3 linked regions of the Elephas maximus indicus genome follow. The protein of the gene in region 1 purifies or fractionates together with the protein of each later gene. This does not show direct contact. Links are inferred from orthologs where the notes say so. Each region holds a gene or a part of one and is shown in the gene's direction. Other genes may lie near its edges.

The links. The genes of interacting proteins can lie anywhere in the genome.
Region 2: the proteins of BBS12 (region 1) and BBS7 purify together in Homo sapiens (co-immunoprecipitation; 3 studies listed by BioGRID and IntAct, counting the BioPlex papers as one, with this or other methods). This does not show direct contact. The link is inferred for Elephas maximus indicus from reciprocal best matches to the Homo sapiens genes BBS12 and BBS7.
Region 3: the proteins of BBS12 (region 1) and McKusick-Kaufman/Bardet-Biedl syndromes putative chaperonin-like purify together in Homo sapiens (co-immunoprecipitation; 4 studies listed by BioGRID and IntAct, counting the BioPlex papers as one, with this or other methods). This does not show direct contact. The link is inferred for Elephas maximus indicus from reciprocal best matches to the Homo sapiens genes BBS12 and MKKS.

What each region holds. Positions count from the first base shown.
Region 1 is NC_064823.1:24,363,672-24,370,907, reverse strand, and holds the start of BBS12 (Bardet-Biedl syndrome 12 protein), read left to right. Parts: upstream 1-4,222; 5' UTR 4,223-4,331; intron 4,332-5,075; exon of another isoform or gene 5,076-5,534; intron 5,535-7,236. Other genes in the region: centrin-4, read right to left, coding at 3,890-3,892. UniProt on the Homo sapiens protein: Component of the chaperonin-containing T-complex (TRiC), a molecular chaperone complex that assists the folding of proteins upon ATP hydrolysis.
Region 2 is NC_064823.1:25,335,729-25,343,415, forward strand, and holds the start of BBS7 (Bardet-Biedl syndrome 7 protein), read left to right. Parts: upstream 1-4,685; 5' UTR 4,686-4,847; coding exon 4,848-4,883; intron 4,884-6,582; coding exon 6,583-6,648; intron 6,649-7,687.
Region 3 is NC_064843.1:49,215,087-49,222,757, reverse strand, and holds the start of McKusick-Kaufman/Bardet-Biedl syndromes putative chaperonin-like, read left to right. Parts: upstream 1-4,669; 5' UTR 4,670-4,690; intron 4,691-7,671. UniProt on the Homo sapiens protein: Probable molecular chaperone that assists the folding of proteins upon ATP hydrolysis. Plays a role in the assembly of BBSome, a complex involved in ciliogenesis regulating transports vesicles to the cilia.

The sequences.
Region 1 (7,236 bases):
TTTGGCAGTCCATGGTATATTCAACATTCTTTACCAAGAGCACAATTCAAAGGTGTCAATTCTTCTTCGCTCTTCCCTATTCATTGTCCAGCTTTCACATGCATATGACACAATTGAAAATACCGTGGCTTGGGTCAGGCACACCAGAGTCTTCAGGGTGACATCTCTGCTCTTCGGCACTTTGAAGAGGTCCTTTGCAGCAGATTTACCCAACACAATGTGTCTTTTGATTTCTTGACTGCTGCTTCTGTGGCTGTTGATTGTGGATCCAAGTAAAATGAAATCCTTGACAACTTCAATTTTTTCTCTGTTTATCATGATGTTGTTCATTGGTCCAGTTGTGAGGATTTTTGTTTTCTTTATATTGAGGTGCAATCCATACTGAAGGCTGTGGTCTTTGTAAGTGCTTCAAGTCCTCTTCACTTTCAGCAAGCAAGGTTGTGTCATCTGCATAACGCAGGTTGTTAATGAGTCTTCCTCCAATCCTGATGCCACATTCTTCTTCATATAGTCCAGCTTCTCGTATTATTTGTTCAGCATACAGATTGAATAGGAATGGTGAAAGAATACAACCCTGACGCACACCTTTCCTGACTTTAAACCAATCAGTATCCCCTTGTTCTGTTTGAACAATTGCCTCTTAATCTATGTACAGGTTTTCAGGAGCACAATTAAACGTTCTGGGATTCCCATTCTTCGCAGTGTTATCCATAGTTTGTTATGATCCACACAGTCAAATGCCTTTGCATAGTCAATAAAACACAGGTAAACATCCTTCTGGTATTCTCTGCTTTCAGCCAGGATCCATCTGATATCAGCAATGATATCCCTGGTTCCATGTCCTCTTCTGAAGCCAGCCTGAATCTCTGGCAGTTCCCTGTCAATATACTGCTGCAGCCATTTTTGAATGATCTTCAGCAAAATTTTGCTTGCGTGTGATATTAATGATATTGTTCTATAATTTCCACATTTGGTTGGATCACCTTTCTTGGGAACAGGCATAAATATGGATCTCTTCCAGTCAGTTGGCCAGGAAGCTGTCTTCCATATTTCTTGGCATAGATGAGTGAGCACCTCCAGCGCTGCATCTGTTTGTTGAAACATCTCAATTGATATTCCATCAATTCCTGGAGCCTTGTTTTTTGCCAATGCCTTCAGAGCAGCTTGGACTTCTTCCTTCAGTACCATCAGCTCCTGATCATATGCCACCTCTTGAAATGGTTGACCATAGACTAATTCTTTTTGGTATAATGACTCTGTGTATTCCTTCCATCTTCTTTTGATGCTTCCTCCATCATTTAATATTTTCCCCATAGAATCCTTCACTATTACAACTCAAGGCTTGAATTTTCTTCAGTTCTTTCAGTCTGAGAAACGCCAAGCGTGGTTTTCCCTTTTGGTTTTCCATCTCCAGCTCTTTGCACATGTACATATAAGTGGAGTCACACAATATTTGCCCATTTGTGACTGACTTATTTTACTCCGCATAATGTTTTCAAGGTTCATTCATGTTGTATCACTGTATCAGGACTTCATTTCTCTTTATGGCTGAAGAATATTCCATTGTATGTATGCAGTACATTTTATTTATCCATTCATCAGTCCACTAGTTTTTAATCATCTTATTCGCTGTATTCGATTCCTTTTGGCTAAAGAGTAGTATTTACTTCCAACACTGAACCTAAGTGATATGTAGTAGGCTACTGAACAGTCTCACTTTCACTATCACTAGCATCCTTAAATGACCATTTACTTTTGTTGAAGCACTACCAGCACACACACAAAAAAACCGAACCCATTGCCGTTGAGTCAATTCTGGCATGGTGACCCTAAAGGACAGTGCAGAACTGCCCCACAGGGTTTCCAAGGAGCAGCTGGTGGATTCAAACTGCTGACCTTCTGGTTAGCAGCTGAGCTCTTAACCACTACTACCAGCACAGGCACCCATTATCTAAGATAGAAATCTTAACTTCTCCCTTTTCCTCACCCCACATCCAAATTCCGACCAGTTTATTTTAGATGTACCTCCTAAAGAGGTTTTGAATCTGTCCTTCCATCCCATCCTTACTGAAACTGCCTTAGTTCTGCTATATCCTACCTGGATCACTGCAAGTTTCCTAATTAGCCTCTCTGACTCCAGTCTTCAGCCTCCCAGTGCATTTCCTACGTCCTTGCTTTTCTGAAATGCAACTCTGTGCCTGTTATTCTCCAGCATACATTTTTTAAAGGTTCTGAACTGCTTCACAACAATAATTTCGTGGCCTTTGTTCCTTATGCCAAAAAAGCTCTCTCTCCTCCATCTTTACCTGGTCAAGAAGTTCACATGTCTTCTTCTCCCTTCATCTTCTCCAGGGTACTTTAGGTTAGGCTCTCCTCCTGTGTGCTCCTACAAACATTCTGTACTGCTCCATCGAAGCCCTTTTCACTCTCTGTTGTAATGGTCTATTTACCTCTCTTTTCTCCCTACTAGACTGTGACAGCAGTTACTTGATAGCAGTGCCATTTTCTTTGTCATACCTGAAACCCTAGCAAATGAGCACATAACCAGTCCTCAGTAATGTTTATTGAACAATAATGTTTTAAAAGCCTATTTTCTGATCAAGCTGAACCTTTGTATAATCTATTATTGAGATTCCACCAGATTAATTTCTTTTTTCGTTCAAATGAGTGTGGCTAAGTCTCACCTTAACTATTCCCACTTTTTTTTTTCATTTTCTTAATTTAAAATCTGTGTTGTAGGCATTCACTCCCAAGTATGGGAAAAACATACTTCACTCTTTCATTTAGTCAATATTTATTTGCATCTAGTAGGTACCAGGAACACAATGATATAAAATAAAAATCTTAAAGAAAATTCTAGAAGTGTGAATTGTATGATTTTGAAGTTCTAAGAAAACATAAGCTGATTTGACTTAATAATTACATTTTTAGAGATCCAAACAGTTGAGAGATTTCTAAAACTATTTAACTGGCTTTTGAGTTTTATTCCCTCCACCCCCAAAAGTGAAAAACTGTATGTAACTATAGGCCAATTTATTCAGCATTGATAGTGGAGTAAATGAAAGTCACTGGTTAGCCAGTATGCTGTTGAAACAGTTGCCTATCACTAGATATTTAAATTACACCAAGTCAGTTGTTTCTAAGTCTAAAGGGGCACAAATCAAGGGTCTTGGAGCCCTGGTGGTGCAGTAGTTAAGAGCTTGGCTGCTAACCAAAAGATCAATGGTTTATCAGCTGCTCCTTGGGAACCCTATGGGGCAGACCTACCCTGTCCTACAGGTTCACTATGAGTTGGAATCGACCTGTAGTCAATGGTTTGTTTATTTGTTTATTTTTAATTATAAAAGCAAAGTGTCTACTGTATTTGATTGGCCCCTCTAGGGATGCTCAAAAATAATTAAGAGGAGACACAGTCTCTGTCTCTCTCGTAATTCCATTTGAAGCTAACATTCTGGGAAATTGTTTAAAAAATAAAACTATAGACTTCTGAAAGATGAATCCTGGTTCCATTATAAACAAGGCATGGGTACAATAAGGAGACAGTAAGAGGGGCAATCTGCTTTACAAGCCTTTTGCAAACAGCTTCACAGAGGACTAGCCTGGGACAAACCTGTCAAAGAAATGGACAGAGATCCATGAATGCCACCAGACCGCTTCTCCCAAGGAGAAGCAGTTAGCCTAAAAGACCTACGGAATGATGGGGAAGATGAAGGGAAAAATTAATTGGAGGACCGCTCTTCTCTGTGGCAACACGCGGAGAGTTTACTAACGACACCAGAGGATCATGAAAAGGGAACGAATAATGCATTTACAAAATCGCTACATTACTCTGGGGAGAAACTTCAGCCCCAGCCCCAGTTCCAGGAGGATGTTTGAGCTTCGCACTCACCATGCCCCCAACCGACGCCCTCGGCCGGGACGCAGCGCCGCCTCACCCTCCCGCCGCTCTGCCCAACGGTAACCTCCACAGCTGCGAAGCTGTTGCTAAGGCCGCTCTCACGCGCCCGCCCAGCCAACGCCCTTACTGATTGATAATCACTCCATCCAATAGGCAAAAAGAGAAGGTTCTTGAGCCAGCCCCCCTCTGTCTACTCTGTACCAATAGCGTGTCGCTCCCGCCTTTCCCGAGCTGAACTTTCCTCTCTGGTTTCTTAGCGACCAAACCAGCCGGCCCAGCCATATTGACCCCTCCCCTCGCACATGCGCAAACAGTGGACGGGGAGGTGGACGCGGGTAAGGGGGCGCGTTCGCCTGGGCGCGTTCGCAGCTTTCTGGTCCTGCACCCAGCCAGGACCGACTCGACCCTGTGTAGGGATGGAGAAAGGAGAGAGGTTAGTAGCGAGGCGCTTCCACCTCCACCGACTGCTAAGGCTTGATGAAGACATGGGGTGTGGGGGGGAAGCCTTTGTTTGTCTTTCTGACCTCTTGGAGCTGGGGAAAGGATTAGAATCTCCAGCCTGGTGGGTTTTAGGGGAATTGACCCAGGCTAGTTTTATCATCTGGCTGGGATTATTTTCCGCGCCTCTGGGCATGCCTGTATACCTCCACAATGCCTAGAGCATGGACTTTTGCCACTCTTCCACCCTGGTTTGGGCAGGGCTTCAGGGTCCGGTTGCCGTGTAGTGGATTCCGACTCGTGGCACCCCCACGTGTATTAGAGTAGAACTGTCCTCCGTAGGGTTCTCAACAGCTTTTTTTTTCTTTTTGAAAGTGGATCACCAGGCACCACTGGGTGCACTTGAACCTCTGTTAGATTAGCAGCTGAGCGAGTATTTAACGATTAGTACCACCTAAGGACTCCACTATGGAGCCCTGGTGGCACAGTGGTTAAGAGCTTGGCGGCTAAGCAAAAGGTCAGCAGTTGGAATCCACCAGCCGCTCCTTGGAAACGCTTTGGGGCAGTTCTGCTCCGTCCTATAGGGTCAATGAGTTGGCATGGCAATGGGTATTACGGTTGGAAGCCCTGGTGGCTTAGTGGTTAAGAGCTACGGATGCTAACCAAATGTTTGGCAGTTCGAATCCACCTTGGAAACCATATGGGGCAGTTCTGCTCTGTCCTATAGGGTCACTATGAGACAGAATCTACTTAAAGGCAACAGTTTTTAAGGACTCCACTGAAGCCCTGGTGGAGTTGTGGTTAAGAGCTCGGTTGCTAACCAAAAGGTCAGCAGTTCGAATCTACCAGCCACTCCTTGGAAACCCTGTAGGGCAGTTCTGCTCTGGCCTATAGGGTCACTATGAGTTGGAATCCACTTGATGGCAACGGGTTAAGGACTCCTCCAAGAAGCCCAGCTGGTGCCGTGTTTAAGTGCTCTAGTAACTGAAAGGTCAGAGGTTCAAACCCAGCAGCCAATCCCACGGGAGAAAAGACATGGTGGTCTGTTGGGGTAAAAATTTCAGCCTAGGAAATCCTGTGGGACAGTTCAACCCTGTCCTATAGGGTCGCTGTGAGTCCGTATCAACTGGAGAGCACACAACAACACAAGGACTCGTCTGGCTGGATAGGCGTGGGGCAGTGATTTGGTAGGAAGGAGGTGAGTATGGGGACAGCTTTTACTTAACTGTGTGTTTATTTGCTGCAGACTCCTCCTCCCCACCCAAGAGATCTGGCTGGTTGTTCAGCCACATCAAGTGTAGCCACATCAAGTGTAGATCCTCACTCCTGAGTAGGCCACAGGTAGCCTGATAATCCGGTTGAACTCTGAGGCGTAGATGCCCATGTAACTGCTGTAAGCCAAAGCAAACTCTTGTCCAGAGGGAGAGACCTGATAATTTTGGCCAGTCCTGCTGAACTTGGCCAAAACCCATCCCATTGCCATTGAGTCGATTCCAACTCACAGGGACCCTATAAGACAGAGTAGAACTGCCCTATAGGGTTTCCAAAGAGCAGCGGGTGGATTCGAACTGCTGACCTTTTGGTTAGCAGCTGTAGCTCGCCATACCTGTTAACCACTGCCACCAGGGCTCCGAACTTGGCCCAGGACCAGCTAAAAGAGTGGGGGAGAAGGACAGTGATAGAAAAGAGCCCTGACTTCCTGGTAGGAAGGAAGAGGTGATATAGCCTCTTAAAACTGACAAAAACACAGCAGGGCCTTTTAGGCTTGCTACAGTGCCTCCTCTGGAGTGCTGGTGGCTGCAGCGGTTAAGAGTTGGGCTCCTAACTAAAAGGTCAAGCCATGCCTTCTCTAGAGTAAATATTTTCTAAAAATCATACTGGACTCTCCAACAGTGGATTCAGGAAGAATATTCAGTTCTGCCTGGTCTTTTTCCTTTGTCTCACTTATCTCATTGAAGTTGGAGCAAGAAAAATGTGCAAACTACATTCTTGAAACAGTCTCCTAAATCACTTTTCATGGTTTGGTAGCTAGAAACATGGCACATTTTCCAAAGCCATCTGCCTGCCATATTCACATTATATCCCAAGCTGTGTAGTTTTGTATGTTACTTAACCCTTTGTTGTTGCTGTCAAGTCAGGGTCTCACTTATGGCAACCCCATGCACAACTGAACATTAGGCTTCTAGAACATAGATAAGGTTGTTCTAATTTTAGAAGTGATTTTACTGCATGAAGTTACCCCCTAAAACCAAACCAAGCCACACCCACTGCCTTTGAGTGGATTCTGACTCATAGCAACCCTATAGGACAGACTAGAACTGTCCCGTAGGATTTCCAAGGTTGTAAATCTTTACAGAAGCAGACTGCCACATCTTTCTTCTGAGGAGCAGCTGGTAGGTTCAAACCATTAACCTTTGGGTTAACAGCCGAGTGCTTTAACCACTGTGCCACCAGCGCACCTTGAAGTTACCCCAGTCGGAATTAAAATGATGTAAATTCAAGATATTTTGTGAATTAATGCAATTTTCAGCCAGTTAACTGTAATATATTGATTTTTCAGGCCATTAATCTCATCTGGAAAGTTGTTCTTGCTTGGCTTTAAGGTCATATACTTCGTCTTTAGTATGAATATTAAAGAGAGTTCTGAGACCCAGAAACGAATAGTGACCGAGTCCTATGTACCCAACTGGATTCTAATTTCTAGACTGTCTCTTACTCTCCTGAATCAAGTTTGATTTCATGGCAGTTAAAAGGCTGAGCAGTATGTTAATCTACTTTTTCATCATTCTATGATTTAGGCCCTTGATATCTGGGGTATTCTAGTTAAAATGGTTGTTTAATGATAAGCTCAGATTCCAATTTCCAGGCTTTGGGTAGAAAGTACTCGGTCTTGAAAAACA
Region 2 (7,687 bases), about 970 kb from region 1:
ATACAAGGCATAAACAGAATACAAAACATTACCAAAAATGATGAAGAGAAACCAGATAACTGGGAGCTCCTAAAAATCAAACACCTATGCTCATCTAAAGACTTCACCAAAAGAGTAAAAAGACCACCTACAGACTGGGAAAGAATTTTCAGCTATGACATCTCCGACCAGCGCCTGATCTCTAAAATCTACATGATTCTGTCAAAACTCAACCACAAAAAGACAAACAACCCAATCAAGAAGTGGGCAAAGGATATGAACACACATTTCACTAAAGAAGATATTCAGGCAGCCAACAGATACATGAGAAAATGCTCACGATCATTAGCCATTACAGAAATGCAAATTAAAACTACGATGAGATTCCATTTCACACCGGCAAGGCTGGCATTAATCCAAAAAACACAAAATAATAAATGTTGGAGAGGCTGCGGAGACATTGGAACTCTTATACACTGCTGGTGGGAATGTAAAATGGTACAACCACTTTGGAAATCTATCTGGCGTTATCTTAAACAGTTAGAAATAGAACTACCATACAACCCTGAAATCCCACTCCTGGGAATATACCCTAGAGATACAAGAGCCTTCATACAAACAGATATATGCACACCCATGTTTATTGCAGCTCTGTTTACAATAGCAAAAAGTTGGAAGCAACCAAGGTGTCCATCAACGGATGAATGGGTAAATAAATTGTGGTATATTCACACAATGGAATACTACGCATCGATAAAGAACAGTGACGAATCTGTGAAACATTTCATAACATGGAGGAACCTGGAAGGCATTATGCTGAGCGAAATCAGTCAGAGGCAAAAGGACGAATATTGTATAAGACCACTATTATAAGATCTTGAGTAATAGTAAACGTGAGAAGAACACATACTTTTGTGGTTACGAGGGGGGGAGGGAGGGAGGGTCGGAGAGGGTTTTTTATTGATTAATCGGTAGATAAGAAATGCTTTAGGTGAAGGGAAAGACAACACTCAATACATGGAAGGTCAGCTCAATTGGACTGGACCAAATGCAAAGAAGTTTCCGGGATAAAATGAATGCTTCAAAAGTCAGCGGAGCAAGGGCGGGGGTCTGGGGAACATGGTTTGCAGGGACTTCTAAGTCAATTGGCAAAATAATTCTATTATGAAATCATTCTGCATCCCACTTTGAAATGTGGCGTCTGGGGTCTTAAATGCTAACAAGCGGCCATCTAAGATGCATCAATTGGTCTCAACCCACCTGGAGCAAAGGAAAATGAAGAACACCAAGGCCACACGACAACTAAGAGCCCAAGAGACAGAAAGGGCCACATGAACCAGAGACCTACATCATCCTGAGACCAGAAGAACTAGTTGGTGCCCGGCCACAATCGACGTCTGCCCTGACAGGGAGCACAGCAGAGGACCCCTGAGGGAGCAGGAGATCAGTGGGATACAGACCCCAAATTCTCATAAAAAGACCAAACTTAATGGTCTGAATGAGACTAGAGGAATCCCGGCAGCCATGGTCCCCAGACCTTCTGTTGGCACAGGACAGGAACCATTCCTGAAGACAACTCATCAGACATGAAAGGGACTGGTCAGCGGGTGGGAGAGAGACGCTGATGAAGAGTTAGCTAATTATAGCAGGTGGACACTTGAGATTGTGTTGGCAACTCTTGTCTGGAGTGGAGATGGGAGGAGAGAGAGAGAGAGAAGCGGGCAAAATTGTCACGAAAGGAGAGACTGAAAGGGCTGACTCAAGAAGGGGAGAGCAAGTGGGAGTAGGGAGTGAGATGTATGTGAACTTATATGTGACAGACTGATTGGATTTGTAAACGTTCACTTGAAACTTTAATAAAAGTTAATAAAAAAAATAAAAAAATGGAAATTTTTATTACAAATTATGCAAGCATTTTATGGAAACAGAAAAAATAGGGGGTGAAAGCCCATAATCTTTCAATTAATAACCAACTAAAACTTCCTAATGTATTTCTCAACAGTCCTTTCACGTAATTGTGGTCATAGTATACACACCATTTTATTTCCTGCCTTTTAACTTATCCGTATAACTGGAATGCTTTTCACATTGCTATACAGCCTTCATTATTTTCACTTGTATATAGTCCACAGAGTCGATGCACCATTCCCCCATTATTGGACAGTTAGGTCCCTAATTTAAAGATTGTTTCAATTATGACTTCTTAACTACTTCCTGTTGTTTTCATAGACTAAATATTCAGAGTTAGGTTTATGGGGTAAAAGGTTAGGTTTATAGGTTGCCATGCCTATTGCTAAAGTGACTTTGAAAAAGGTTTTATTACTAGTTTATGCCATCACAAGCAGTTGATGAGTGTGTCTTACAGCATACAGTGTTATCATTTAAACCTACATTCCAATTTGAAAGGCAAAATAGAAAGACATCCTGCTTTGATATGATTGATTACAGTGAGAGTAGTAGTTTTCTACATGTTTGTTCAGTAGTCACCTCTTTTGTGAACTGTCTATTCATATCGTTACCTGTTCATTTATTGGAGTCATAGTATTTCTTAATTTTATTAATTTGTTTAAAGAAGTTAACTCTTTGTAAATGTTTTCCCAAATTTTTGTTAATTTTTTTTTTATTTTTGTGACATAGAAATGATTCATCATTACTTCTCATATCTGATTTTGTTTGTGGTTTCTTGTATTCCCTCTGAGACGAGACAATTCCCTTCCAACATATTAAATTCTATAAAATTCTACACAATTTTATTTCCTCTGATCTCCTGTATGGTTTTACTTCTCTATTAACTTCTAAAATTTCTCTGATAAGTATTTTTCTGTAAAGTCTAAATTGATAGATGTATTTTCCCCAAATTGCTGAACAGGTAACCCATCCTCATGTATTGTTGTCTGTTATTTTAGCCTCAGAAAAGGAATTGGCCAGAACACCCTGGAAAAACCCTAGGCAAAAATCTTCTCAGATCCTTCTGCAGGAATTCAGTTCTCTTCCTAATTTCACTTTTTCTCAGGGATTTAATTCTTCTTGTGTTGTTTCACAATCATTTGTGAACCCTCCTCTGTAGTAGATCACAGAAATCAGGAAAAGGGCTCTATCATATTCATCTGAATTTTGACAGGCAGATCGCGTTGTGAACTAAGGAAGAATTGACAAAAGTGAGTCAAGGAATGTCAGCTCTCAGTCAGATTCTAGGTCACTATAAAAAAAAAAAAGGCCAGTGATGTTCAAAGTGTAGTCTGCAGACCCCTGGGGTTCTCTTAGGCCTTTTCTGGGGTCTGCAATTTTGAAACTATCTTCATAGTAACACAAAGACATTATTTGCCTTTTTCGCTGTGTTGACATTTGCACTGATGGTACAAAAGCAATGGAGGTTAAGACTGCTGGCGCCTAAGTATGAATCAAGACGATGTCTCCAAACTGTATTAGTAGGCACTGTATCCTTCATGCCACACACTGGCAGGAAACCAAATAAGGTTTTATATGAACATGGCCTTCATGGAGCAGTAAAGATTGTTAACTTTAAGCCTCAATTTGAGTACATGTCTTTTTTTTTTTTTAATATTGTGGGATGACATGGGAAGTACGCATAAAGCACTTCTGCTGAATACTGAAGTACATTGTCTCAAGGAAATGCACTTGTGTGATTATATGAGTTGCTAGCAGAACTCTGCTGTTTTCATGGAACATTAGTTTTATTTCAAAGAACGACTGACAAACTAAGATTATTTGGACTTGTTATTTAGCATACGTTTTCTCATTAATTCAAGAAGGAACCTATCGGCTCAAGGAAAACAACTGACATTTGTCGCCCATGCTTAAAATTCGGGTTTTCAAGTATAAATTAGAATTTTGGAAAATTTGTATCTACCATATGAGTTTGACAGCTTTCCCATGCTTCAAGAATTTTCTGATGAGATTTGTGGCGGTTTTAACAAATAGGATTTTTTGATACTGTATCATGAAGCCAGACTCCGTATTGCAACTAACCTTTCAAAAACGACTACTTGACTAGTTTGGACCAAATTTTCTCCATATACTTCAACAAAAATAACAAATAGCAATAGATAGAATGCAGAAGCAGATCTGGGACTCCTGCTGTCTACTACTAAGGCAAACAATAAATAGAGGCAAACAACGCCATTCTTTTTATTTTGGAAACTGTATTTTTCATTAAAATGTAATCTATGCAATGGGTTTATTTTTAATGAATTAAAAAATTTTTCAGCTCTAATTTCTAATACAGTAAATATCAGTAGAAAACTCACATGAACAAAAATTCTTTGGGGTCCTCAATAGTTTTAAGGGTTTTGTAAAAAAGCCCTGAGGGCAGAATTTTGAGAACTGCTATTGTAAGCTAACGCTTATAACGGTGGAGCCGAATTCTTCCCTTCGCACTAACGAAGTGAAGTAGGTTAGAGTCGACCGGGGACTCAAACCTGAGCTCCACACAGCAGGAGGCATGCTCTGAGGGAAAGAGCTAGGAAAGCAGGGCAAAGGGAAAGGGCTGGAGCCAAGACTGCGTCTCTTGTCTCCCTGGAAACCGCCCTACCTTGGTCCCCTGGACCGTGTCCTGCGTTCCTCACCGCCTCTGATTGGAGCAGGTTAAGGTAGTAGGCGGGCTGTGGGCGCGTGGGCGGGGCGTATTTTCGTCCAGGGACTACTCACGTGAACGTACTGACGTCACGACCGACGCTGCTGCCCCGACGCCCTACCCCTGCATCCCCCGCCGGAGGCCGCGGTACGTGGGCTTGCACCTCAGAGGGGGACGCGGGCGGCCTTCGTCGCCGGGTCCGAGGCCTGAGGGCCCGCAGCGCCTGTCTTTCCTGTTCTGGCCCGGCGCTGCCCGGCGCGTCAGTGCAGCCGTCATGGATCTGAATTTAAACCGAGCAGATTATTTACAGGTAAATCCGAGGGGGTGGGGCAAGCGCCGCGCTGGCTGAGCTTCGCGCCCTGAGAGGATTCGTTCTTCCACAGACCTCTGTCCGGGTCTCCCGGTGCGGACGCGGGCTGGGCGCGAAAGAGCCCGGCCGGGCACCGCCCTCCCGGCGACCCTCTCGCGGGGAGCGGGCAGGTCCGGCTGGTGGGTGACGGTCCGCTGGGACTTGGAAAGAAGTGACACACGCCCCCGCGGACCTGGCGCCTGCTGAGGGTGCTCTCCCCGGATTTCGCTTTAGGGCCCTTTTCCTCCGCCTTCCCGGCTGCGGCTCCCTGTGGGCCTGAAGCTCCCTGATCTGTCTCTACCCCGCACCTTCTCCCGAGCGCCAGACCCATGGTCCCAACTTTGAGCCGGACAGCACCAGGCAGATCATAAGAAAAGCAGTGGCAACCCATTAGTGATCATCTAGTTCATTCTAAGAGTTTTACGTAAATATTTAGTCCTCATAAAAGATTCTGCAAAGTGGATAGTCTTAACAGATGAGGATCCAGGGGCTTAGAGAAGGTAAGCAGTTTGCTTAATACCAGAAATGATGGAGAGTCTCTATTTGAAACAAAGTCTTGGATTCCACAGTTTTTCTTTCTCTTACACCACATTTTCTCTCAGGATTTCTTTCAGCCTCCTCGAAATAGATCTAAGACTGAATTCGTTATCTGTCTCTCCCATCTCCTCTATTTAGATTAATAGTACAAATGGTTGCCCAGTCAGTTTCCCTCAAGCTAGAAATTTGGGAGTCATGCTAGGTACTCTCACCTTAATCTCTTACACGTTGAACTGGCCACCATATCTTGCTGCTTTTATGTTCTAAATGTTTCTTCAATCTGTCCCATTCCCCCCATGGCCATTACCCCAGTTCAGATTGTCATCTTCTCTGGCTTGGATAATTGAAATAACCTCCTAACTGGGCTCCTGGCCTGCAGTTTCACCTACCTTCAGTCCATTCTTCGCATTACTTGCTAGACTGGTATTCCAAAAATACAAATCTAAAGAGATTATTACCTTAAATGTTAATACTACACCCCAGAATGCAGAATAAAATCATAGATCTGTATTACATGTAAGTTCTTTCATAGTTCTTTCCTAATCTTTTTTTTCTCCAGCTTCTCTCTCAATAGCCCTATACTTCTCATCTAAGTATATACCACTAGTGACAGTTCCCTGCTGAACAAGCCATGGTGTTTTCATCCTCCCTACCTTACGTAAAATAATCTTTACCATTAGTTAGATTGGATGTTATCAAGTCATCAGCATGTCTGGTACTTTAGCAAAATTTTTCTGTTTCGTTTTTAATAAAGCTAATCTATTTCCAAAGATTTTTAATCACTTAAAAAAACTCTTTAACAAGTAGTATGAATTTATAAAAAAGGCTTCTAGAAGTATTGTTTTGTGAAGCACCTTACCAGTAATGCCACATAATTATTTTTGGCTTGACAACTCTCTGGATATATTTTGCTATTTTTGGTTATTTTCCTATATTCTCTCTTTTGTGACATAATTCATTAGAATATAAGTTTGTCATTGATAATAATAGTTACATCATTAATTGCAGTTTAAAAAAAAGACTCACTGTGATATGAAACTGGTGATTCTTTTACATCTGATGTAATAACTTCAAATTGCAGTGCATAAGAGAACATTTAGCAAATGCTGGTGTGTTTTCTTAGGTAGGAGTGACCGCTCAGAAGACTATGAAGCTACTTCCTGCCTCAAAACATAGAGCTACACAAAAGGTACTGTATGGATAATGTTTTACAGAGAAAGATTTATATTTCCTTCATCATTGTTAAGTTGCTTTTTTAAAAATGCTAATAGTAAATTGGAACTGAATTTCTTGTTATTTGAACAGAGGTCAGAATACCAAGGGTCATTTACACACAATAATTTTCTTGCACATTATAATTGCATTATGTGTAATTAGTAAATCATATTAGCAAACCAGTTAAAAACCATAATATAGTTTTTTCTGCTAATAATTTACTCTGTGTGTATCATATTGTGTATATGGAGAAGGAAATGTAAAATAGGATATAGACAAAATGATTTCTTTAAACTTTCTCATATCTCTAAGAGGAATTGAAACTTTAAGTAAATAATTACACACATTTGTGTTTAATAGTATCATTATTTTTATAGAAATACTTATCTTATGATTTCTGCAATTACAATTTCTTAGTATGGAGCCCTTGTGGCGCAGCCATTAAGAGCTCAGCTACTAACCAAAAGGTCAGCAGTTCGAATCCACCAGCTACTCCTTGGATACCCTATGGGGCAGCTCTACTCTGTCCTGTAGAGTTGCTTTGAGTTGGAATTGAGTTGAAAGCACCGGGTTTGGTTTTGGGGGGGTTTTAGTAGGCTAATAGGATATTTTAATAGCTTCAAAGTGAGTACGGTATATATCAAGATACAGCAGTAGGTTTCTGATTGTCATTTATTGTATTCAGCCTATTAGATCAATGATTCACAAACTTCTGGGTCTCAGGATCCCTTTACACTCTTAAATTACTGATGATCTTAAAGAACTTTTGTTTATATAGATTATATCCATTAATACTTATATAAAAATTAAAACTGAGAATTGTTTAAAATACTAATTATTTTATTTGAAAATAATAAATCCATTGCATGTTTATATAATCATTTTTGTGAAAAGAAGGTATTTTCTAAAACAAAAAAAGAATTTAGCAGGAAGAAAGGCATTGCTTTATATTTTAATATAATGCCTGGTAGCAAAGACAGCCGAATGCTCATTTATTTTCTGTATTCAGTGTG
Region 3 (7,671 bases), on another chromosome or scaffold:
TGACATCTGTAATACTCAACAGCAGTGGGTTTTTTGGTTATAACAAGCTTCTTCTGTTCATTAATCTTTTGCTGTTCATTTGATACTAAGAACTAAGCCAAATAAAACTGAACCAAAATTAGCCCAGACCAAACCCATTGCCATCAGGTCGATTCTGACTCATAGCAACCCTAAAGGACAGAGTAGAACTGCCCCATAGGGTTCCAAGGAGCACCTGGTGAATTTGAACTGCCAATTTTTTGGTTAGCAGCTGTAGCTCTTAACCGCTGTGCCACCAGGGGTTCCAAAAATTAGCCCAGTTAATCACAATTGTTAGTAAGTCACTGTCTTAGTTTCTTAGTACTGCTGTAACAGAAGTATCACAAGTGGGTGGCTTTAATAGACAGATACTTATTTTCTCACAGTTGAGAAGGCTAGAAGTCTGAATTCAGGGCACCAACTCTAGGGGAAGGCTCTCTCTGCTCTGGGGGAAACCCTTGTCTCAACTTCTCTAGCCCCAGGGTTCCTTGGTTCCTTGGTGACCTCCACATGACATCTGTCCTTCCCCTGTTTGTGCTTCTTTGCTCTGTGTTGCTCCTTTGTCACTCTGAGCGCTTAGGTTTAGGATACTCCCTACACTGATAGGTTTGTTCACGTAACAAAGAACCCTGTTTCCAAATTGTATACATCCAAAGGTATAGGGGTCAGAATTCCAACACATATTTTGTAGGGGAGGGGGGACACAATCAAATCTATAATCATCATGGATATATTTTTTGGAGGATATAGACTCTTTTTCTCTGATTTTGGAGAAAATGTTAGGATACCGCTGTCAGTCTCTTAATATACCTCACGTGAAAATAAGAACTTGCCAGACATGATGTTAATATGTCATTTTAAAAGAATGCTAGTTCCATCTTGCTGGGTAGAGATGGATTCTTACATGTACTGAGTGATAGTTCTCAGTGTTTTTATGTGGATTAAACGGGAAGACTCCTAATAGTACTTTGTACATAAAAAGCCCTATCATCCTGACCATAATCATTTTCCAAGCCTCTCAAAGGGTAACAGGATAATCTGCCGGAAAAGTTATTGCTCTCTCACCCCCATTAGCCGAATCAATGTATGAGATACAGCGAATTTGAGGAGATGGGACATGTTGGTATTGAGTAAACGTTAAAGCAATTAATCACTAAATTGGTCTACATCGTTTACAAAGCAGGAAGTACTGTAGAAGGCCTCAGTGATGTTTGGCAAATAAAGAGTTTTCAATGAAAATAGATAGTAATACCTAGATTTAACTAAATCTAAATCTAGGGAAAGATATATAGACCTTTAAATTAATCTGATTGAAAAGAACAGTAGACTATTAAATAATCTATAAACAAAGTAGAGCACTTACTTTGTCTTTAACCTAGGAATGACCCAAAGATTCACTAAAGGTAGGGAGCTAACTTAATCTGAGACCCTATTTTTACTCTTCTTAAGGAAGGTTCAAGGATGGGTGATACAAGCTGTTCGCAGTTGGCTGCTAACCTAAGGGTTGGTGATTCAAACCCATCCAATGGCTCTGTGGAAGAAAGGCCTGCCAAACTGCTTCCATAAAGATTACGGCCAACAAAACCCGTTGGAGCAGTTCTACCCTGTAACACATGGGGTCGGCATGAGTTGGAATCAACTGAACGTCAATAGAAAGGAAGGTTCACAGTACCTCACGTTAGATACTGTGGTCTTGAAGGGGAGAACAGTCCAAAACCTGAATATTGATTGCTGTTACAGGTCGTAGTTTAATTTTTTCCAAATTTTAGTTATTGAGGTATTCATCCCAACTTTATTACTATTATATCTTTTTATCCAAACTGTTCTCTTTTCTGTAACCAGGGATTTCAAGTGAGTTCTAGATTGTTAGGATTGTACAGAGAGAAGATGGAGAGGGTAAGCTTGAATCTGGTTCATAAAGTGTGTGAAACCCTATGAGAAGCAAGGTGACCGCCTGGGACAGGAGCAAATGCTGCAAGTTCTCAGAGGAGCCTAAAGCTGCTAGTCACCCTTGTTCACCTATGCAAGAGGGGATCCTAGTGGAAAGCTACCATTTTGGACAGATTTCTACTGAGAGCATCAGGCTCATGTCCAGAAACCAACCTCAGTGTCAACAAGACTACCTTCTCCTGCGAGGAAGAGGAAGCAGAGTCCATGCTGTGGCTGCCACCAGCTGCCCAGGGGCCTGGAATGCCACTTCATGACTCAGATTCAACAGTGTACCTGTGTGGTTCTGATTTTGAGTTTGGTCCAAGATCACCAAACTGTGACTAGTAGCTACAAAACACTAATTTTAGACGATGAGAATTTTCTCTCTTCTAAGATTTTTTTTTTTTTTTTAAGATTAGTTTTCCCAAATGTTTATGATTCAGGAAAAAGCTGACAAATGCAGTGTTATATTAGTGATCATGGAGAAGTATATGGTAAATAGCAAGGATACCATCTATTAAAAATAGTGTGGCTTGATAACCTCATGCTGAGGATGACAATTAGAGGTGCTAAAGTCACCTTAAGTATTGAGACTGGACGTGAAAGGGAGCCCTGGTGATGCAGGGGTTAAGAGCTCGGCTGCTAACCAAAAGTCAGCCATCCAAATCCACCAGCCGCTCCTTGGGAACCCTATGGGGTAGTTCTACTCTGTCCTGTAGGGTTGCTATGAGTCAGAATCAACTCGAGGGCAACAAGTTTTATGGACATGAAAGACGATACCTCCTAGACCTTCAGTTCAAGGTGTTTAGTGGGCAGAAATGCCAAATGTCAGTCAAGACAAGCTGATTGTCTTTGGCACAGCCTCTCCACCTTTATCCACCCCTCTAGGAAGTAAATCTTAAGAAAGCTCTTCCTTTGTTACCTCAGATGACCCAGTACCTCCCCAATTGTGTCCAAACTCACATTTTAAAATTTTATATTATCTCAAATGTTCCAAAGACTTTTGCACCACAATGAAATTTAATCACGATGCAGTAATTTGTGATTGATTTTCCCCCAAAATAGAACATAAACTTGTCAATAAAAGGTATGGTCTTTGATGGTCGCAGAAAGCATTTGAGATCCCAGAGCACTTTATGAAAGGGAAAGACCATAAAATACTTTGAGTTACAAAGTCGGTCATGTCTTCTCCACCCAGTGGTTTAAGTTTAGCAACAGAGTCTTTATGCAATGTGAATTAGGACGTTGGTGACAGATTCTAATGCTGGGAGTAATGTATGTATGTAGACTAAAACTTAAAGCCTTCTGTTCATTTTTAATATATACATGGAATGCAGAGATAGTTCAGGCTATTTTAGTCATTGGTCTAAGTTTTAATCTTGACTTAGAAGGTGAAGAGTAAGTAGAAAATTTTTTCTAACAGCATTTTTACAGAATTACAGTAATTTAGGAGATTTCCTGATACTAAAACTGATATAGGTGCAATTGAACCAAATCCTTAGCCTGTCCCATAGACTGAGCAGCCCTGTGTTATCCTTCTATGCTCAAAAAGGAACTTGGAAAATGGGGTCATTGATATCACAAGTCTGTATAGCCAACACTGAAGCCTAATGAGCATTGCTTAAATAAAAGTAGGAGGAGTCTTTGGAGGTTACACGGACTTGAGTTCACAAACCCAGCAGATCATCAGAACACAGATTTCCTGGGTCCAACCTCATGCTTGCCAAATTAAAGACTGAAAAAAAAATTTTTTTTTGTAACTCCAGGAAGTTATTAGCCTCAATTTCTTCATGTAAAGTGGGTTGACAATAATCCCTGTTGGGTAGGGTTATTAGTAATACAGGCTAAACACTATAAAACGCAAGGGGTTTGGCACATAAGTGTTCAGATGACAGTAATTCATCCAAATTTCATGAAGTCCAAGCCAGAAGTCCAAGTCAGAACTCTTGCTGCGATTGGAATCCGTGTTTGACAGCCTCAGTTGGAGCACTATCACTTACATGCTGTCAGAATTCAGAATCTGAATTGTTTGTTGTTGTTGTAAAAATATATATAATACAACATTTGACAATTAGAGCCTAAATTTGTACTGCATAGTTCAGGATTACCACTTGATTCTTCCGTTACGGTTGTGACTAAATGTAATTAAAAAAAAAAAAAAAGATCTAACTTCATTGTGGTTCAGAGATTATACTTTTAAAATGATATCCGTGATGAGTGTTTCCAAAGGTTCATATGGCTTTCTCAGTAGGTAATGTTGCTTCTTTACAATTCCTGACTAAAAATTCAGTATTGCTTTATAAGTTTCTCAGATGTGACTTCCTGCTGTCCTTCTGTGCCTACAGTGTATCTCTTTTTGTTAATTAACATTGTAGTATACTATAAAAATGTTCAGCAGTCAGCCTTTATTAGAGTGTGATATGCTACTTTTTTTTTTTTTATGCTACTTGTGGTTTACAAGTGTAATATGTTTTTTTTTTTTTTTTTCTGTTAACTGTTAACCTTTTCTTAGGTGCCCTGATGCTGAAGTACTATGAGCTTTCAGACCTTCTGGAGAGACTACAAAGTTCTGGTTGTTATGATACCAGTAGTTGGGCTCATACATCTGGGGTGGTACAAAATCAAAAGCAGCCCCATTTTCCAAATACCTAATAAGGACAACATTCCTGAGCCAGATAATCTGGCTCTTACAAGTCCTCAGAAGATCAAAACCCAAGGGAAATAGCAGACTTGCAGCCTTCAGGTAAGTTGGATTTAATGTGATCAACCACATGGTACCTTCCACTCATGGGGAACTTGATCTCATAATAGAGCTCTAGCAAGAGAAAGCTAAGGTGGCGTGTTAGCCCTGTTGTTTTTATTATGACCCACTGTTCTGCAGTTGCTTTTAGAAGTGTGTGTTGCACAGAGACCTTTGACACTTGTTTGGAAGAGTCATTTGCATGAAAAGGTACAGGACTATGGATCCAGTACTCTTCCTGTCCCTTTCAGTGTCACCAGGATCGTGAATGTGTACAGAGAAGCAGCTGACTCCGGGCCATAAACCCATTGCCTTGTTGTCAGTTGCCTTCCAGTTGATTCCAACTCATGGGGACCCCACGTGTGCAGAGTAGAGCTGCTCCGTAGGGTTTCAAGTCTGCGACCTCTCAGAAGCAGATCTCCAGGCCTGCCTTCCAAGTCACCTCTGGGTGAACTTGAACCTTTCATCTGGTAGTCATGCACTTAACTGTTTGCACCGCCCACAGACTCCATTACAGAGCTTAAAAGTCTGTAACTTGGAAAAAGCTCTTTTCCGGTACAACACTATTGTGTTAATTCCTTAGCATCTGATCAAAATAATTTGTTACTTTTGAGAGTCTGAGATGAGAGGATGCAGTCACACAGTTCATATGTGTAGCTCTTTATCTACAATTCCAAAGTCCAAAAAGCTCTAAAACCTAGAGTTTTTTGCCGTAATTCCTTTGGCAGCAAAACTTGATCTTAATTAACGTAATAATTTGTAATTTTAGCCCACTTAATGTGAATGTTTATTTTCACTACAGATGAGTTGTTGTGTTTGATTATGAGTTTCGTAATAAACACTATACTGTATTTCTAAAACTCTTAAGAATTTTGAATCATGGCCCCGAGGGTTTCAGGTAGAAAACTGGGACTCTATATTTAGAAAACATTTTCTATTCTAATATACCGTTTTTGAACCTTTTGACCTTCAGTTGAATAATAATATGGTTTAAATTTTGGCATAAGGTGGGTCATAAGGTTCTGCTCCTTTTAGAAGGATCTTGTTAAGATTTTTCTGTTAAGTGTGTGCTTATGACTTGTGATAAAACTATTATATAATTATGGGCTATAGTATTTTTTAAAATTTTTATCTTATACAGTATTATTTTAAATCAAGCTTTTATTTTCTCCTTAAATGTTCTTAAGGAGAAGGGGGAAGCAGGGATTAAAATATCAGACCATAAATATTAAAAGACAGGTGCTAAAATGTCAGAAATTTAACAACTTATAAGAGAAACCTTAGACATTGAGTATAAAATGTGTATTTATAGTGAGATTTTAGTGGACATGAACAGGGAGTTAAAGAGCTTATGAAATGCTTGATTTTTATGTATAACCTCTTCCAGACTAATGAGATCATTACAGAGTACATGTAGGCCCTGACTTACTATGTATTGGAGTTACCATGAACTGCGCTTACCACCATCTGGGTTTTTTTGTATTGATAATATATACTACATACAATGTTTTAGTGCTTAATTTGCTGATGCTAATCATTCTCAGATGTTCAAAGATCAGATTTGTAAAGATACTGTAATAAAAGGCAATAATAATGAAAACTAGAGGGAAAAAAAAAGAGGTATTCGACTTAGGTCAGAACCTACTTTAAGATGGAGTCGTTGAAACAGAGCCCTGCCAGCAGTCAGGGACTGTCTGTATGTATATCACGCTTATGACATCATATTTGTCCTTTAAGTCATAAGCATTTGGGGGCCTGGTACAGCCACACTTTAGAAAAAAGGTAAAAAAAGTAGTTTCTCCTTGTACAAAAAGAAATACAAAACATATCATTAATTAAGGCATACTTAGAGGAAAAGTAAAACTGAAAAAAGAAATTGTCTCTTCGGAAATGTTAGAGGTTTTCGATGTCAGCACTGCAATAGTTAGAAGATTTAGAGGCCAGCGCTGCCAGGCAAGCAAGCGGAAGCAAATCCTTACACAGGCTTGGGAAGCAAAAGGAAAAGCCGGATTTAGACTCGGTTAGACACGGATTCCTAACGGTTTAGTACACCTGAAGACTGTGCTGTAGTTGCCCCTTACTATTTTTTATTGTTATTTTTATTATGGAAAATTTCAAACTTATCCAAAAATAGAGAAACTAATTGAACTCTCAAGTATCCATTACTCACCTTTAACACTTATCCATATTTTCCCAGTCTTCTTGTATCCTTCCTTTGGTTTTTTTGGTTTGGTTTGGGCTGGAATGTTTTAAAGCATATTCCAAGCTAGAGTATATATCCCTTCCATATGTATCTTTAAGCGAGGAAAAACACACTCACACATAGCCACAATTGCACTGTCACACTGAAAAAATTAACATTGACCCTCTGATACCATCTCATACCCAGGGCCGTGTTCGTATTTCTGAATTGTCATTAAACAGCTTGTCTTAGAGGTGGTTTGTTGGAATCACAATCCAAACTAGGTTTACACATTGCATTTGGTAGATGCGTGTCTTTTCATCTACGACATTTCCCCTCCCCATTGGCCATTTTTAATTTTCCACATTCTGAATTTGGCTGATTGCATCCTCATTATGTTGTTTCCTATAACCTGGAATTTAGAACAGAGGCTTGCTTCAAATCTGTTTCCTTTTTAAGCATTAATACTTCATGGGGAAACCCTGGTGGCATAGTGGTTAAGTGCTACGGCTGCTAACCAAAGGGTCAGCAGTTCAAATCCACCAGGCGCTCCTTGGAAACTCTATGGGGGAGCTCTACTCTGTCCTATAGGGTCTCTATGAGTCGGAACCGACTCAACAGCACTGGGTTTGGTTGGGGTTTTTTTTCAATACTTCATGGATGGTGGTATGTGCACCTCCTAGTGAATCACGCTGCCTTACACATAATGTGTGGTTCTGCTTTCAGTGTTGCTAAGATTAATAAGTGGGTTAACAGCCTGATCCCTCTAGTCTGAAGTTCCCCACTGATCTTTTCCGTAATG